3 linked regions of the Caenorhabditis elegans genome follow. The protein of the gene in region 3 interacts with the protein of the main gene of each other region in a pairwise test. Each region holds a gene or a part of one and is shown on either strand. Other genes may lie near its edges.

Evidence for each region. Proteins that work in one complex are often made in the same cells at the same time.
Region 1: the proteins of lin-15A (region 3) and ifa-1 interact in a two-hybrid assay, tested with the Caenorhabditis elegans proteins (2 studies listed by BioGRID).
Region 2: the proteins of lin-15A (region 3) and unc-15 interact in a two-hybrid assay, tested with the Caenorhabditis elegans proteins (2 studies listed by BioGRID).

Annotation. Positions count from the first base shown.
Region 1 is NC_003284.9:11,270,826-11,275,987, reverse strand, and holds ifa-1 (Intermediate filament protein A), read right to left. Parts: upstream 3,192-5,162; coding exon 3,083-3,191; intron 2,719-3,082; coding exon 2,647-2,718; intron 2,599-2,646; coding exon 2,435-2,598; intron 2,388-2,434; coding exon 2,274-2,387; intron 2,226-2,273; coding exon 2,128-2,225; intron 2,052-2,127; coding exon 1,192-2,051; intron 1,145-1,191; coding exon 1,005-1,144; intron 956-1,004; coding exon 737-955; intron 684-736; coding exon 645-683; 3' UTR 506-644; downstream 1-505. UniProt on the Caenorhabditis elegans protein: Cytoplasmic intermediate filaments make up the structural component of the cytoskeleton providing mechanical strength to cells.
Region 2 is NC_003279.8:7,377,193-7,384,918, reverse strand, and holds the start of unc-15 (Paramyosin), read left to right. Parts: upstream 1-1,721; 5' UTR 1,722-1,835; coding exon 1,836-1,952; intron 1,953-3,088; coding exon 3,089-3,145; intron 3,146-3,191; coding exon 3,192-3,278; intron 3,279-3,347; coding exon 3,348-3,458; intron 3,459-3,505; coding exon 3,506-3,561; intron 3,562-4,632; coding exon 4,633-4,852; intron 4,853-5,159; coding exon 5,160-5,264; intron 5,265-5,386; coding exon 5,387-6,318; intron 6,319-6,367; coding exon 6,368-6,497; intron 6,498-6,546; coding exon 6,547-7,323; intron 7,324-7,597; coding exon 7,598-7,624; 3' UTR 7,625-7,726. UniProt on the Caenorhabditis elegans protein: Structural component of the muscle thick filaments which is involved in assembly and organization of sarcomere myofilaments. Involved in ovulation.
Region 3 is NC_003284.9:15,730,097-15,735,878, forward strand, and holds lin-15A (Protein lin-15A), read left to right. Parts: upstream 1-1,871; 5' UTR 1,872-1,878; coding exon 1,879-2,157; intron 2,158-2,624; coding exon 2,625-2,714; intron 2,715-2,765; coding exon 2,766-3,203; intron 3,204-3,708; coding exon 3,709-3,813; intron 3,814-3,860; coding exon 3,861-4,028; intron 4,029-4,086; coding exon 4,087-5,166; 3' UTR 5,167-5,269; downstream 5,270-5,782. Other genes in the region: Protein lin-15B, read left to right, coding at 1-273, 327-1,400, 1,450-1,515. UniProt on the Caenorhabditis elegans protein: Synthetic multivulva (synMuv) class A protein. SynMuv proteins are required to repress the induction of vulval development.

The DNA of each region.
Region 1 (5,162 bases), 4.5 Mb from region 3:
TATAGCAAACTGTAGTGCTCAGTGCAAATTTAAAGCTCATTTAAAAATGCAATAGATGTGCTTTTAGATGGAACGCTGAAAAAGTATTTGGTAACAATTCCAGCGGAAAAATATTTTGTTAAAACCCTAGACAGTTTTGTAGTAGCTTCATTTTCTCGAATCAAGCGCAGTGACCATAGTTTCAAAATATTTTCCCTTGTTTGGCATACGCTCCTACTTCAAAATTATATTTAAAAATTTAAAACATTATATTCGTGCAACTGGAATTTTAAGAAGGACAACACTTTAAACTTCTCAGTAACGCGAGTTTTAGATGTCGACGTCGGCTCATCTCGCCGATATACAATTATTTACGGCATTTCGTTCAGCTCTATTGATTAGTAACCAAAAACATACGCTTCCATTTCAGGTGGGCGAATTCCGACGATTTTGAGAATTTTACATCATCTGTTCTATGAAAATAACCTACGCAAATACATTGTGATCAAATTTTTTTTTGATGTTTGAATGATAAATGATTTATTGAAATAAGGTCAAATAAATGCGCAGAAATCAGCATGAAAGTTACAAAATGGGAAGAAGATTTTGGGATTTTCAACAAGAAATTGTCACAATATCTAGTTAATTGTTGGGAAGTCGCCTGATTAGGCAGTGCTCTGGCGTTGGATGTGGGTAGCACGTTCCTGAAATTAATATCAATGTTGTAAATATAATGACATTTAATTGTTGATCTCACCTCTCCTTCTTTGTTGAAGAGGATGGTTTGGACGTTGTTTCCGCTTCCGAACGAGTCTTCAGCATCATAGACCAATTGATCTGGTGGTGAGGCAACTCCTTGGTTACGGGCGAAGATTTTGAGGGTCTTTCCGGCACGAAGGACAAAGTCTCTTGGAAGCGTGTAGACATTCTCACGTTTTCCGTCGATACGTCTCTTCAACTTCCACTCACCGATAGCCTGAAAGAGAACAAAAAATATTTGAAACTGTTGTGATTCAAGTTCCTACCTCGTCCTTGGCACGATGTGTGTTCTGGAGGACGATGAACTTTCCATCCGGCGATGCCTCGTGGATAGAAACATTTCCCTTTGCAGAACGCTGGAACGATTGACGGGATGCAGTTTCGCCCTTGACGACTCTCATCGTCTCTGAAAAAGGATGTATGTTTTAATGGAAAAAATTGTCTTTCTGCTACCGGTATCGGTTTCCTGTGTGATAGCATGGGTCTTGACAACCTGTTCGACAAGTTGCTTGAGTCCAGCACGGTTCTCTTCTCCTTCGAGCATCTTTCTGTAGATGGCGATTTCGGCATCCAAAGTTTGTTTGGTATCCAGGAGCATTTGCAATTCGACCATAAGGGCTTGGCATTCCTCACGCATTTTGCGGATTTGGGAATCTCTGTCGTTGAGGGCTGCTTCATAAGATCTCTGATCATCTTCCAATTGGTAGTTGAGCTCTTGAATTTGTTTCTCGAGGAGAGAGTTGCGGCTTTCAAGATCAGCGAGCTTTCCACGCAAATCGCTGAGTTGGGTGCGGAGTCTTTTGACTTCTTCTTTGGCATACCCTTGTTCCATGTTCTGTCTGGCAGACTGCGTTTGGATCTCTTGGACCTTAAGACGATACCAGGATTCCATGTCATTACGGTGAACGTTGTTGACTTGGTCATATTCCTCACGGATGTCACGAATAGCCGAGGAGAGTTCGTTCTTGAAGAACTCGCGGTTTTCTGGAGTAGTATCACGAGAAGCCAAAGTTTGAAGCTCCTTGATCTCATTGTCATGGACACGACGCAAGAAATCAATCTCCTCAAGAAGAGTTTGAACTTGGTTTTGGTAGTCAATACGATTGAGGGTTTCTTGATCCAAGTCGGTACGGGCTCTTTGAAGCTCAGAAAGCAAACGCTGATTCTCTTGCTTGATCCGCTTCACCTCATCCTCAAGCTGAGCAATACGACGTTTCAGAAGGCTAATTTCAGCTTCAAGATTAGAAAGGGTTACTAGAAGTGCGTCGATCTTAGCGCGATCCTGTTCACGGCCCTTGGTGGCATCTTCCAATCTGAAAAATACATTTTGTAGAAAAAGTATAATAACGGTAATATGCTGTTCATAATTTTCAAAACATATGTTCGTACTTTCTGCGCATCTCAGCGAGTTCATCTTGCATCTTCTTGAGTTGACCTTCCATATCCTTGCGTTGCTTATTGGTTTCATCAATCAGCTTTTGAGCATCCTATAATATAGTTTTCTAACCAAAAGTTTCCTTTCTGTATTTTCCTACCACAAGTTCTCCCTCATACATATTACGAATGTTGTGCGTGTCTTTTCCCCATTTGGAACGAAGTGCGTCAAGATCGGCTGCCAATTTTCTATTCTGGGCTTCTAGGAAACGGACCTAAAAAACAACTATTGGGTGTGGTCCATCTTATTCCTATTACACACCTTTTCGATGTAGCTAGCAAGTCGATCGTTCAAATCGCTCATTTCTTTCTTCTCACGTTCACGAGAGTCACGGATGGTTGATGCAGCATTTTGTCCAAATGGCGACAAGCCGGATCCAGCACCTGAGCGCATCTCGGTCACAATTTTGAGCATACGATCTTGGGCTGGAATATGTTGATTTAAATGTTTTGCACAGACAACAATAAACTTACAAGTAACGTTTCCGGTTGTACGCCCTCCGAGCGGAGCTCTAGCTGAAGGTGTTGTGGAAGTGAAAGACATCGCTGCAAATCGTAAATTTCTATTGTGAAAGTGAAAAGGGCCGACTGTACTCGGCAGCTTCGAAATTTCAAAATGAGGTTGTGAGTTGTATGGCAACCCCTGACTGCCGTAATGTGTGACCAAGGAATTAGTCGGAGGCTGACTGTAGAGACAAAAGCGGAGTCTCAACGGTGCGCAAACTAGGTGGGCGTCAAATTTCTTGCACTGCTCCTCACTTTTTATTCAACATTTTCTACTCCTCCTCCTTCATTGCTACCAACCGCAGCTTCCTCCCACACTAATGATAATAGCATGTAGACAAAAGGGATTAAACGAAAATTGCAATTTTTTGAGTTAGTTGAAATTGAGGGCACAAGAAAGGCTTACTCTTTTCAATCACTTCGTAATTGACAGTTCGTGTGGAACTTTGCTCGCTTCGAGCGCTAGAAGCGCTTGATCGTCGCGAAGATGGAAGAGAAACAATATAACCTTCCATAGTCAGAAAATGAAATTTTTTGTTCCTCAACTCTTTTTATACATGGCGGCAGAACAAAACAGGCAATGCAAAATTAATATATTTCAGTATTCTAGACTGTTGTATAAAGAGAAAAAAACCTATGAGTAACCTATGAAAATCTATGAGGAGAAATAGAAAACTCAATCAAATATTATTATTGCCCTTTTCCACGAAAGGAAATGAGATCATAGTTGTTTGCCTATGTATATTTATATTGATTCAAGTCGGTGTTTGGAATTTTTTTGCAAAGGGAGGCGTCAAGAATCACTTTAAAATGGGTGTGAAGTGAGGACGGAACGGCGGCTTCTTGATATCTGGCGCGAATGCGGAAAAAAGAATAGGTGTGAGGGATGGGCGCGTCCTCCAAAAATCATCTCATCCTCAACTCAGTCAACCCTTACGTCGTTACGATTCCTCTCGATTCTACTTTTTTCGCCTATTGGACATGCGTTTTTGCATAAATTCATACGTTTCGAGGCTTTGCTAAAGTGCGAAATGACATTTGAGATTTTTTTGGGTTGAGGTGATTCATTTCAATTTGCTACCGTGCCTACGCACTTTTGTGGAAGAGGAGACAAAAACTAGACAACGCCTCGGAATATATGTTTGTACAAAATTGTTCAAAAATTTGAAGTGAGAAGAAAATTAGCCTTGAATTAACTTTGAGTACTCACGAGTAGTTTATTGATTGATGACTAGTTCAAATGGAATAACGGTGCAAATATGTTTGAAAAAGTTTAGAAACACCTACATATATAAGTTGCGAGAATATGTGTTAGTTGTCTGGTTTTCACAAAAGCGATTAAATCTGGGAACACTCCTATTCTACTTCTGTCACTTTCAAGATTGAATATGGATTCGTTTAAATGAAATTCAAGCAACGGATTGAGCTTTAACTATGTAAAACACTGTATTTTTTCAGCAAACACGGTGTTTTATATTAGCAAGAGTATTTAAATTGCTCAGGTCTAAAAAAAAGTGATGTTTTTTAAACTATATATACATTCAGAAATGATCTACCAAGTTTTTGTAAATAAACTCCTGTTAGATAATTTATTTTGCCGAAGTGAATGCAATTTTCAGCCAGTTACTTACCCGGACGAGTAGTAGTGTACATTTTTATATAAAAAAGTAGTAGGATCTAGTTGCAAAAATATTCACTAGTATAAGATAAGCCTATGCGGATAAATGTGATGCTTCAATGACAATCGGAAAGATATCTCAATAAAAAATTGCGACAAGGCACAAGAAACGAGCCTCTTATTTACCGATGTGCTTGTTCATCTTGCACTCCGTCTTATCTCACTGTTTCATTAATCTTTTTTCTTTAAAAAACGCATGCCTGTAATGTTATTTTTTCAAAGTTTTGAATTTTCAATCGCTGATCAGTTAGATTTGTTAGTCTATGGTAAGCACCTTACCGCGAAATACAAAGGCAAACATTCCGCAACTCACCTCCTGGAAAGTCATCGGAATAATTTAAGTAGTTAAAATGAAGAAACTCACTTTCTCTGGTAATCTCCATCATTTTTGAAATGTTGATTGGTTAGGTACCGCTTCTCACTGAGAGAAGTATCCGTTTGAACGAGTTTCTGGAAAAATGGGAAGATAAACAGTTTTCTCTGCGTTCCAGCATGGCGGTGTACATAAAAAAGATATCTCGGCTCAAACATCCAGGGCTCTCGGCTATTGAACAATTTTCGAAAAGTACATAGTAAAAGGGAGAGGGGTTAAAATGGAACAGAATGATGTGTACAGTAAACAAAAATAAATGGCAGCGGCAAAGAGATGAGGCAGTAGCAAATGCATAGAAAACGGCGGCCCCGTGGCAGGTGAAACTTCATAATTACTGAGGATCATCTACTGTCAACCGGTCTAAAATGAGCGAGAGATCGTGTGAAAGTCGGGGACACTGCGATGGTTGCAGTACAAAAAAGTCGACGCACATTT
Region 2 (7,726 bases), on a different chromosome or scaffold from region 3:
CAAGTTTCTATCTTGAGAGAAAACTTACAGCATTATTAGCATATATTCTCGAAGTTATGTTAAAAATAATTTTAACAAGCGGCAGCACTGCTAGAAATCTTGTGGAAATCGTATGCAAGGTTTAACCAAAATCTGGCCTTACTAAAGTCTAACAAAAACTATTCAAAGGTATGTCCACTCTTTGTAAAAGTTAAATATAAATGGTCTACCGTTTTCTATTACATTTTATAAGTTTTTGTCACGTTTTGGAATGGAAATGTGCGACAATCGATATTTCCTCAGAAAGTTGTTAGCGGGGTAAAACCATCCTAGTTTTTGCAATCAATAAACATCAACTTACAATGTTCAAGATTTTTTCTTTATAATCAAATCTGAAATTAAGTTCAAACGAATGTCAGTACATTTCACCATCCCCTGCTTCTGCAACCAACTAATTATCTCGGTCATCACGATTTGTCAGCTGACACTGCTCAACAAGAGTATTTTGTTGTCTGGTTGATCAGTCGTAATGGAAGTAAAATTCTGAAAATTTAGAAAAGATTTTGAAATTTCACAACACTTATTTAAAAATGACATGAGTCACAAGAAGTAACGGGATTTGGAGTGAAAACGTTGATTTTTTGACGTCATGACACAATTTCAGTTTGAAAATCAGTTTATCAAGCCTATTTTTCATTAATGAAAAAACATTCGGAAGAGCCGATATATTGGAAATTGAATACCAAGTTATTATAGAAGTAATAAAAACTTGATTTCATCACAATTTGTTGTGATACGCTCCCCCACCCCCTCACACACGCACACACACACACATTCTCCGGGATACACTCAATTATTACACACTTCGCACTTATTTCTTCAGAATATGAGATCCAAGAACTTTTTAAAACATTGATCAGATCATATATGACAAGGCTATCAATTAAGGAAGTGTATTAATAGATATGGACAAGAAGAGAGCATAACTATCTGTAATTAAGGAATTTCAAATAGTTGACAACCGAGTTTTGGAATTCTTCAATATTTCGACTGTATAGACGTATTACCATTAATAGAAGACTTTTATAAATTTATGAAAATGGATCATCTAAAAGGTAACAGTATAGTTCTGAGAAACTTTAATGAAAATTGGAGACAACCCAGGCTTGAAGAGCCTGAATAAAGTAAGAGTTGATTACTGATAGGTGGAATGGCATTCGATTAATGGCAGTTCAGTCTCGCTTTTTCTGGTTTTGTGTTTCTTTTTTCTTAAGTGGTCTTCGTTTTACTATCCGTTCGTCAAAGTTCACACCTGCCCTTTCGGACATTCAAAAGGCACACACAAACACGAGTTGAAGTTTTTGGTGGATCCCGATGTTTTTTGTCTGTGCTCATCCCTTTTTGCTGAATTTCTTCCGTGTCGCCTCAACCCGAACCAAACCAATATCATTCGAATGTTTAAAACCTCCTGGCCCGCGGGTGCCTGATGCATCGTCTGCGCTTCGGCTCTCGGCGCGCTCTTCTCGAGATCGTATCCCGCCAACTCGTTGGCAAAAACACAATGGCATTTATCAGATACGCAGCGTAGAGTGGGAGGGTGGCTCAGTGCTAGGCAAGAAGGATTACACTGAGGCTCCTCTCTCGCTCCCTGCCGGGCACACTACCTTCGTAGAAGTTGATGATGAGAGATACTTGGAGACAGAGAGACGATCGACGACGCAACGGCGCGGGATGAGATATGTGTGTATGTGTCTTCCCGACGGCAGAGCCCCAACGCACAATCAGTCAGTCTCGAAGCAGCCAGCCAGCCAGCAGCACACACAGGGGCACCATCCATTTGAATACTCCATTTGATCATGTCATTGTATCGTTCGCCATCCGCTGCTCTTCTTAAGAGCCCGTCGCAAGCAGCGTTCGGTGCTCCATTTGGCAGCATGTCCGTCGCCGATCTTGGATCACTCACCAGACTCGAGGTAAATTTTTGAATGTTTTCTACCATTTCTGAACATTTCACTGCCAAAACCCCAAAACCCGTGTTCCATTTTTCATCGAATCGATGTTTCATTGACTGATATTTTGAATTATATCTGTAATTTAAATTTTAGTAAAAAAGGCATCTAATATAGCAACGAAGAATTGAAAAACTTGAAAAATCTCAAATTGTAGTTTTACAGTACTCCTCAGTCTCAAGAAAAATGTTTGTTTTGTCCCTAAATTGAATGATTGACAAATAACGGCGTTTTCAGTTTTGTAAATATTATTTTTCTGCATCAAAATGTATGGAATAAAACAATATTCCGAGCCAAAACACTATTTTCAGAAAAATTTTTAAACTTCCTAGTTTTCTCTATAATTAAACCTTTAGATTCCTTATTCTAAATCTTCATTTTGAAAAATCTGTTCATCATTCATCTCGGCAACTAGTTTCTTTGTGTAACTAAGATTTGCAACCTTTGTTTAACTTACTGCTTGCTTACATATATTTCCAAGAAAAAGTAGAACCCTAATTCTCAGATTTTCAAATATAGCACTTATAAAAAACAAAAATTACGCTTTTTTTCTTTGAAAAAACAATTATTTTTTGACCCCATATTTTCTCATGGTTCTAGCTACTGAATTTGCGATTATTGCCAATTGCCTGCAAAAACATTTTGTCAATTAAAATAAAAACAATTACCAAATCATTCGCTGGTCTATTTCCAAAAAATGCACTCTACGTCTCTCATATCTATAAGCTATTTTCACGTTTCTCTTATAATCTCCCACACTGTGTTGTAAAATTTCGAAGAAACCTAATGCATTATTTGTTAAGCTTAGATATCAATTCAAAAAAAAAACTAAATGGTAATATCGAATTGTATGCTACGAGTGTATTCTTGTCGTTTGATCTCAAGAAATTCCGGGACATTTAAATTTGTGACGTCAGGATGTTTATCTTCACAGTACTTTAAAAATATTCCCCACTCGGCACTAAATTTATAGGTCCGTGTAATAAGGTTCATCAAGAAGTTCAATCAGAATCGGAATCCATACTTTTTTTATCTGAATCAGTTCTTGAAACAATTAATTCTTCAAAGATTTTACAAATTAATACAGTTTCACTTTTCAGGACAAGATCCGTCTTCTCCAAGAGGATTTGGAATCAGAGCGCGAACTCCGCAACAGAGTGAGTTTTTACCTTTTATCTCTGATACCATGATTGCCATTTTCAGGTTGAACGTGAGCGTGCCGATCTCTCCGTTCAAGTTATTGCTTTGACTGACAGACTCGAGGATGCCGAGGGAACCACCGACAGCCAAGTGAGTTTCCAGTTTTTATGAATTTCAATTTAAAGAAACATCTTATACCTTTAAACATTATAATTACAGATCGAATCGAACCGCAAACGTGAGGGAGAACTCTCAAAGCTTCGCAAGCTCCTCGAGGAGTCTCAACTTGAATCCGAAGATGCCATGAATGTTCTCCGCAAAAAGCACCAGGTACAGTAATCTTTATGCTATAGCTTAAAGAATTCGTGAAATTTTAGGATTCCTGCCTCGACTACCAAGATCAGATCGAGCAACTCCAAAAGAAAAATGCCAAGTAAGTTATTATCTTTATTTTCTAAGTTTTTTTTCGTATTAGTACTTGTGCCTTCATTTTCTTCTTCTTCTTCTTCTATCTTCCCGCGTTGAAATGGCAGCGGAGGAGTTGGCGGCTCGGCAGAAGCTCTGAAGAAGAAGTATAAGAAGATGAAGAAGCATCAGCTCAAAGTGTGTAAAATAACAAACGTTTCTCGTGTGTGTGTGTTTGTTTCGCCTTCCAGGAAGAGATGAGAGAGATACAAGAATGTCTGCGTCTTACTGATCTTCTCAATATCTCTCACATTTCTCTCATTGATCTTGATGCTTGGCGAGCAATCTGCGTTCCCGTGAAACAGTGGTGGTGGTAAAAAATAATGAGATTAAGTTGGGATGAGAAGTTGAGATGAACGGGAAGGGGACAGCTTGAGAACTTGAATGACGAATGCATGAACATATTATAGAATATTTAAAAATGTAGTAAGGATCAAACATTATTTGTTTCATAACAAGGGGTTGCTAGCCTAGTCTTGCACCTCCTATCCTCTAGTTTTACAGCTCATATCTCGGTTATTTTTCATTTATGAACACATTTCAACAACAAAAATGCGTGAGAAATCCTGTATATTAATAGGAAAAATACTGTATTTTTCCCATTTAAATTACGATGGATTCATTTTATGATGTCTCTTTTTTTTGCTCAAATAACTTTCAATGAAATCAAGGAAAATCTTCCGTAATTTAAAACACATTTCTAGAATCTATGTTAATCTTTTAAACAATGTACATAGATGATCTATTCAGTTGTAAAATAAGTTTTAGTTGTTCCCTTCTTGCGTTCAAAAATCTTCGAGTTCAACTTTCCCATGAAAATAATTGTGTGCAACTCTTGACGTAATGTTTTTAAATCCAAAATTAGTTTATACTTTTCCACCCACTATCAATAGTTTCACCTGTCCAAACCGGCTGCTTTCTGACATCATTCATAGCCAAACATATTGTTGACACATCAAGAATTACTTGTTCGCCGCTGCTTGACTTTTTGTTAAATTCCAAATATCCTCCCATCCCACGCAATATCATCATCATTCAGGATCGACCGCGAACGCCAACGCGTCCAACACGAAGTCATCGAGTTGACCGCCACTATCGACCAGCTCCAGAAGGACAAACACACCGCTGAGAAGGCCGCTGAGCGCTTCGAAGCCCAAGCCAACGAACTTGCCAACAAGGTCGAGGACTTGAACAAGCACGTCAATGACCTCGCCCAACAACGTCAACGCCTTCAAGCTGAGAACAATGATCTTCTCAAGGTTTGTTTTTTGAAGTATCATGTGTATAATCTCTAGTTTTATCATCTTTATCACGTGCCACCGATCACTCTGCTCATCTTTCTACTTTTTTTTAGCAAAAAAATGCGGTAAAAAGAAAAAAAGAAACCCCTTTTAACAGGGGGTTTCTTTACTAAATTCTCTATTTTATCGCTACTATTTCCGCAGAGTGTGTGTGCAAATAGAGTACTCGAGATATTAGAAAGGAGGATGCTCTGTGAGCCTCATCGTTTTTTTGTCTCGTTCAGTGTGTTCTGTTAGCAGATCAGGGATCGTTAATGTTTTTCAGGAGGTTCACGACCAGAAGGTTCAACTCGATAACCTTCAACACGTCAAGTACACCCTCGCTCAACAGCTCGAGGAGGCCAGACGTCGTCTTGAGGATGCCGAGCGCGTAAGTCTACTAGTCCAAAGTGCCAAATTCAGAGGCGGAAATATCGGGTTTCTTCCTCTGACGCATTTCTGGACATTAAAAAAGCATAAACGTGCGAAGATCAAAGAACGTTGAAATTTCAGGAGCGCTCCCAACTTCAATCTCAACTCCACCAGGTTCAGCTCGAGCTCGACTCGGTCCGCACCGCTCTCGATGAGGAGTCGATTGCCCGTTCCGATGCTGAGCACAAGCTCAACCTTGCCAACACTGAGATCACCCAGTGGAAGAGCAAGTTCGATGCTGAGGTCGCCCTTCACCACGAAGAAGTTGAGGATCTCCGCAAGAAGATGCTCCAGAAGCAAGCTGAGTATGAAGAGCAAATCGAGATCATGCTCCAGAAGATTTCTCAACTCGAGAAGGCCAAGTCTCGTCTTCAATCTGAGGTCGAGGTTCTTATCGTTGATCTTGAGAAGGCCCAGAACACCATTGCTCTCTTGGAGCGTGCCAGAGAACAACTCGAGAGACAAGTTGGAGAACTCAAGGTCCGTATCGATGAGATCACTGTTGAACTCGAAGCTGCTCAACGCGAACTCCGTGCCGTCAATGCTGAGCTCCAGAAGATGAAGCATTTGTACGAGAAGGCTGTCGAACAGAAGGAGGCTCTTGCTCGCGAGAACAAGAAGCTCCACGACGAACTTCACGAAGCCAAGGAGGCTCTTGCCGACGCCAACCGCAAGCTCCACGAGCTCGACCTCGAGAACGCCCGTCTTGCCGGAGAAATCCGTGAGCTCCAGACTGCCCTCAAGGAGGCTGATGCTCAACGCCGTGACGCCGAAAACCGCGCTCAACGTGCCCTTGCTGAGCTCCAGGCTCTTCGCATCGAAATGGAACGTCGTCTCCAAGAGAAGGAAGAAGAGATGGAGGCTCTTCGCAAGAACCTTCAATTCGAAATCGACAGACTTATTGCCGCTTTGGCTGATGCCGAGGCCCGCATGAAGTCCGAGATCTCTAGACTGAAGAAGAAGTACCAGGCTGAGATCGCTGAGCTCGAGATGACTGTTGATAACCTTAACAGGTAAATACTAATTTTTTCAACATTCAACCCTTAAATTCATAAATTACAGAGCTAACATCGAAGCCCAGAAGACCATCAAAAAGCAATCGGAGCAACTCAAGATTCTCCAAGCCTCATTGGAGGATACTCAACGTCAGTTGCAACAAGTTTTGGACCAATATGCCCTCGCTCAACGCAAGGTGAGTTATCATTTTTGTGGTCTCTTAATTCATTTTTATATATGTTTAGGTCGCCGCTCTCTCTGCTGAACTCGAGGAATGCAAGACCGCTCTCGACAACGCTATCCGCGCCCGTAAGCAAGCCGAGGTTGACCTCGAGGAAGCCAATGGACGTATCTCCGACCTTATCTCCATCAACAACAACCTCACCTCCATCAAGAACAAACTCGAGACTGAGCTCTCCACCGCTCAAGCTGATTTGGATGAGGTCACCAAGGAACTCCACGCCGCTGATGAGCGCGCCAACCGTGCTCTTGCTGATGCTGCCCGTGCCGTTGAACAACTTCATGAGGAACAAGAACACTCGATGAAAATCGATGCCTTGAGAAAGTCTCTTGAGGAGCAAGTCAAGCAACTCCAAGTTCAAATTCAAGAAGCTGAGGCTGCCGCTCTTCTCGGAGGAAAGAGAGTCATCGCCAAGTTGGAGACCAGAATCCGTGATCTTGAGACCGCTCTTGATGAGGAAACCAGAAGACACAAGGAGACCCAGAATGCCTTGAGAAAGAAGGATCGCCGCATCAAGGAGGTTCAACAACTCGTTGATGAAGAGCACAAGAACTTCGTTATGGCTCAAGACACCGCTGATCGTCTTACCGAGAAGCTCAACATCCAGAAGAGACAACTTGCTGAGTCCGAGTCCGTAACAATGCAAAACCTCCAGAGAGTCCGCAGATACCAACACGAGCTCGAGGATGCTGAGGGCCGTGCCGATCAAGCCGAGTCCAGCCTTCACCTCATCCGTGCCAAGCATCGTTCATCTGTTGTCACCGGAAAGTCATCCTCCAAGGTATTTTAATTTTCTTTTTTTGTTGAAAATACTTTGATTTGTCAATACTTTAGATTTTATGTTAAACGCTCATAGTTAGAATAGACAAATACTTTAATCAAAAATGGTTCTAATTTCAATAAGAAAATTTCAAGAATTGTTTTTGTCTGTGTCGGAAAACAGAAATCCTGAGCAACTACTACTTATCATTTTATCTTTAAAAAAATTTGTTCCCAACACCTTAATTATTTTACGTCACTTGTTTTTCACATTTTTCGTTTGTTTTTTCTTGCAGATTTTCGTCACGGAAGACGATTATTAAACATCCCAAAAAGCGTCGCCATACATCAAATCATCAAATAAATTGCTAATAAGATGTGTATAATTGTTTTATTTTTCTTCTCTATTTCTTTCATGTTCTTCT
Region 3 (5,782 bases):
CGCGGAGAATTTACTCTAGGACAGGCACAGCTTTTCATGGCGCGTGAGAGCAAAACGTACATTTGCCGTCTCCATTTCCTGGAGACCCTCGACGAGATCTACCAGATGCTACGTCTGAAATCTGCCGATGATATTCTGATTTGCCCATTGGACTTGATTCAGAACGCATTGATCACTGTTTCCGCCCTCCGTCCACACATTATTGCTTCACAACTTCGAAAGATTCTTCACGATTTTGCCGAAAGAAATAATCATCTTCGTGAAACGCCAGCGGTAAGTTTCCGTTTTTAAAATTGCACATTTTGAAACAAATTAATTGTTTTTAGGAATTGAAGAAACTTGGACAACAATACTTTGACTACCGCGAGCCCGAACCTGAGCCAGAGAGAAACGATGTGGATGAGCAAGAAATCATACCGAAACTCTTTCGCCAGCCACGCAAGCAAGTTCTGGAAGCTGATCAGCATGACGGAACTGTCAAGGTTATAGAGCAGGAAGATTTCAAGCTCCCAACTGTCAAACCGTCTGAAAATGAGGAATGCGACAATCCGGGCGTTTGCTGCTTCTGTTCGAAACGTGGCGACCGAGGTGGAATGCTTCGTGTCCCGAGAAGTGAGGAACGTTTGGCTAGATGGGTGGATAAGCTTGGACCAGAATTTGAAGCCCGACTTCACACCAATACGGAAAACCTAATTTGCCGAAGCCATTTCCCAGATGCAGCGTTCAGCAGTCGTGGTAGACTTTTGAAAGGAATGATTCCAGATGCTGCTCCAGAAAAAGTTGAGACCACGTATATCATTCAAGGGAACAACTTCCTCAAACTCAAAGAGCGCAAGTCTGGAACTGATAAGAATTCAGCCATTGATTTGGCGAATATGTTAAACCCCGACGGTGTTGAATATACTCAGGAAGAAGAAGAAGAAGAGGAATATGAAGAAATGTCAAGATCCCCAACGGAAGAGACTTCAGACGACGAGCCCAGTCAAGCAGCAGTTTACAACAATGCTCCAGTGATAAAACGTACCTATAGAAAGCGGGAGTTGTCAAACGAGGATGGACCTCTTAACTTGGTAACACCACCTGCTCATACTCCGAACCCAAGAGGGCGCCCAAGGAAGTATCCCAAGAATAGTGTAACACCAGAAGCTGAAAAAAGCCTCACCGACTACGACTACAATCCGGGAACATCTCAACGACGTGCACTTAAGAAAGGTTACGTACAACTCGAAGACGGAGAAATTGTCGGCGAAGATTGCGAATACGTGCCTGAAAAAACACCAAGTGGAAGATTGATTCGACAAGCTGTTGCTAGACGAAGCTTTGCTTTTGCTGATGAGGAAGAGGAGGAGGAAGAGTATGAAGAATCTCCAATTGTTAAAAAGCCCAAGATTGCTGGAAGAGTGAGTTTTTGAAAAATATATGCTTTGAATTATTTTTATATTTTTTCAGCCAGTCGGACGACCGCGCAAAGATGCTAATAAGCTGCCAACCCCCACACCACCCAGCAACGAATAAGTGGAAATATTTTCATCCACCGTTCCTGATTGTTGTTTTTATATATAATTTTTTCTCCATTGATGTTTTTGATGATTAAGTCATACGCATAGTTTTACCCTGTTACTTTGATTGCCCTTAAAATTACCACTTTTATTTTACCTATTTATTTTAATCATCATTCATCTGAAACCTCACAATGATGAGATGATCTCATCATTTTTATATTTTGTAGTTTTATATCAGTTTTATAAATGTTCACCGAAATTTGATGCCAACTGGTTTTTTTCTAATTCTTTCCAAATGGTTTCACATCACCAAATGACAATTTTCCTTTACTTTCCTATCTTGCTTATCATACACTATCACTTATTCAGATTCCTAATGTTGGCTCCAGCGGCTCCAGCTAAAGATGTTGTCTCGGCAGATGAAAAAGAAGAAATCATTGCGAAAAGAAAATTTCGAATGAAAAACGTTGATGCTATGCGAATGTCAAGCTTGGCGAACGATCGGATGGCTTTCAACAAGAAATGCAATGCCCTAGCGATGAAGTTTGTTAAAAGTGCCGGCATTGGAACGGATGCTCTGCAGCTCACATGTTTCCAGGAGCTCGTCCGGCATTTCAACCCAATTGCCGCAGTTGTTGTTGGTGTCAAAAGAGAGGTATGGCTTTTTAAGGATTTTCTCCCATTTTCTGATATATCTAGTTAAAGGTGGAGTAGCGCCAGTGGGGAAATTGTTAAAAACTACTCCTTTAGTGCCAAAAGGACCAAATATCAAAATAAAACTTTTCAAACATTTTTTGAAAATTTTTTATTTACTGTCAAAAAGTGACAATCATTCAGTGTTTGCCAATCATAATTTTGGAAGTCGACAAAAAAATGTTCTCCTACATTTAAAATGCAATTTTGTTTTGCCTACTTGTATTAAAACATTGTTGGGGTCGGAACATGCGACATTGCTGTGGATTTCCTCAAAAGCTCATATTTTTCATAGTTTTGGCAATATGCCAAAACTTTGACTGGAAATTATGAAAGATCTAAAAATTTTTGGAGTGTTTTATTATGATATTCGGTCGTTTTGAATCATGATAAGGTTGAATAAGAAGTGTTCTATCTTCAATGTTTCAGCCAAACTCCAATGTACAAGCTGAAAAAAAGACAATTCCAAAAGTCAAGACAATACAAACACCTACCCAGTCAATGGAATCTGTTCGATTGGTAAGCAGAAATGTTTGAAGATTATTCATAATAATGCGTATATGGTTTCAGCTCCAAGAGAAAAAAGCTTCAGCAACTGAAGAACAATCAGCTGAGTCTGCTTCGATCATGAAGCATTTTGCGAATACAATTCCAAACTCAACACCAACGCAAAGCGTGAAGGATGTTCTGACGGCGGCTGCAAGCAAGGGACAATTCAAAAGTAGCGCGGAAATTTTTTCACACTTTCCAAGTGAACCCAGCCCCTCGAAACCCCGTGCCACACGAGAGGGATCTCAACCGAGTGACTACACGTATTGTACCTATCTGACTCCGTGCATACTCTGCGAGAAGGCTCTTTTAATGCGAGAAAGCATTGCAATGACTGATAACGAAGCTGTGAAAGTTTTGATGGCGGCAGTGATGTCTGGCCACTTTAGAATGGCAACTGCAGAGAAAGCGATTCGTCATGAGAGGCTAAGGATGTGCTATGATCATGTTGATTTTGTAGTAAGTTGTTCAGTATTTTTTTCAAAATAGTTAAGTTTGAAAAGCTGTGAAAACTTTTCTAAAGCTGATTAGAACATAAATTCTAATTTAAAAGTTATTAATTTTATTTATAATTTTCATGGCAAAAGTTCAAAATTTTTGGTGTTTTGTTTAGTACAACCTCTATTTTATTTTATATATGTGATCGATATTAATACATTAGACTAGAAAACAAGAATTAAAGGACGATCCGTTCTTCAAGTCCTATGCACTACGGATCTGGGATTCAGGTGGTGCTCCCACTGAGTTATAATTTAAGCCACGTCCTAGCCGGGGACTGTGGCCGATAATCCTATCGTGGACTGCTCTACTTACCAATAGAGGCTGGATGAAAACCTAGGTGGTGAGGTTGGACTTGAACTTGTGACCTCCAGATTGCTAGCGGCCACCACTACCGACTGAGCTATCCTGCCCCCTTTTAGTTTAGAGATTTTAGTTTAAAAAAAACCATACACCACTTTTTCAGTACGAAATGATGTGCGACGCCTTTGAAGCTAAAACGGAAAGCGAGATCAATGAGATGCCACCGGACAGATTGATGCGTGGCCATGATATCTATAGAGCACTGAAGGTTTGATTGTCATATCTCGTTGTTCTACAACGGTGAAATGTTTTAAGAGAGTCGGCGACCTGCACAAAGGGAAGGTTACGTCGAACACTCCGCTTTACTCATTCAAGAATTCCATTAAATCTTATTACCGTAACCACGTGCCAAGGATGGTCAATGGGTCTCTCAGTAAACCGTCTCCCAAACCGTTCTCAGAGCTGGTTGCGCTTTTGCAATCGGTGAGTCTTGTGACACTTGTGAAAATTTTAAAAAAATTTAAAAAATTATTCGTTTAAGGTGCCTCCATCGACGAATCTAAATGAGTTGCTGAATCATAATCTTAGCCTCAGTGATGCTGATAAGCAAGAACTCATTCAACTCATCAATGGGAAAGATAATCGTTTCACATCTCGGAGACGGAAAATCGAGGATATTCTTGACAACAAGTTTGCTGCTGCAGCTGCAAAAGCTTATCGAGATCACAGTGAAGATGCACCTAGTGAACCGTATATTCCCAATCAAAGTGAGATGCAGAACACTGTAGAACGCAGAAAGCGAAAGCTTCATTCGCCTGAACAGGATGATGCTGGATCATCGAGTATCTCATGGAACGCAAAAAAAACGAAAACTCCAATTGACTATGTTCACCTAGCAACGCGTGTTTTGGAAGGTCATTCAATTGCCGACGAGGCGCTTTTGCACAAATCCAAAGTTTCTTATGCTCGTAATGCATTTGGTGAGAAGCCAAGCTCCCCCACTCCGCCATCTGCGCCACTAAAGTTCTGTGTTGTCAATGGAAAGAAATACTTGCGTTTTGAAAACGGAACCGGACCTCCGAAAGTTGTAGTTCAAGGGAATGTCGTTCTTCGCACTAATACTCTTAAAGACGCATTGACTACAGCGCCACGTGCACAAAACCAGCCTTCTACGTCCACAGACTCATCAAGCTCATCCGAGATGGAGGGAATACGTCAATCATTTGGGGCGCCTCAAAAGGAAGAAGAAGAAGAAGAATTAGTACCTACGCTTCTTCAAAACAAACCTACCCACGTGGAATCTTCGAGCCCCGTTGAAAAAAAACCACCAACCAAAACGAACGTAGAGAAACCAGCGGTCCGTCTAGGAAGAATGTTAACGACTGCATTTGGTTCAATGAGTTACCGAACAAGAAAATCGGTAGAGAATAAAACGGATCTCTTAAATCAGCCAACATCTGCCTCACCAAGACGCATGATTAAAGTTGTGAGAAACCGAAATCCTCACCTTGCGAAACAAGTGGCCGCCGCACCGAGTGAGCCAAAACATATTCCGCCAACGCACATGGAAAAGAAGCCGGAAGAGTTGCTCATGGATCCAAAGCCTGAGCCAATTTTTTAAACGTTCTTGATAACTTTGATTATTATCTTTTTAGTTCAATTTCATGTTTTTTTTAAACTGTTTTTTTCTCATCACAATCGATCTTATAAATATGTTACTTGTTATCAAAACTATTTCAAGAATTTCGAGTTTAGCGCATTTCGTGAGGAGGAAGTCTGAAATTAAAAGTTTTTGCAATGAATTTTTGTTCGGTCACACGGAATTTTTCAGGTTAGAAAAGTGTTTTGTGCGTGTTGGTTTTGTTGACGTCTTTTCAGAAAAAAAATTTAATGGTGTTTATTGATTGAAACCCGTATCCAAAAGATAAAACAACATACCGCAATTCCAAAAAAGAGCAAATTATGTTTGCCGGAAATGTTTAATTCCGGCCATTTGTCGATTTGCCGGAAATTTTCAATTCCGACAATTTGCCGATTTTCTGGAAGTTTTTAATTTTGGAAAGATGCCGATTTGCCGGAAATTTTCACTCCCGGCGATTTGCCGATTTGCTGGAAATTTTCGATTCCGGCCAATTGCCGGAAATTTCAGTTCCTGCGATTTGTCGGTTTTCCCGAAATTTTTAATTCCGGCAATCTGCCGATTTGCCAAAACTTTTCAATTTCGGCAATTTGCCATT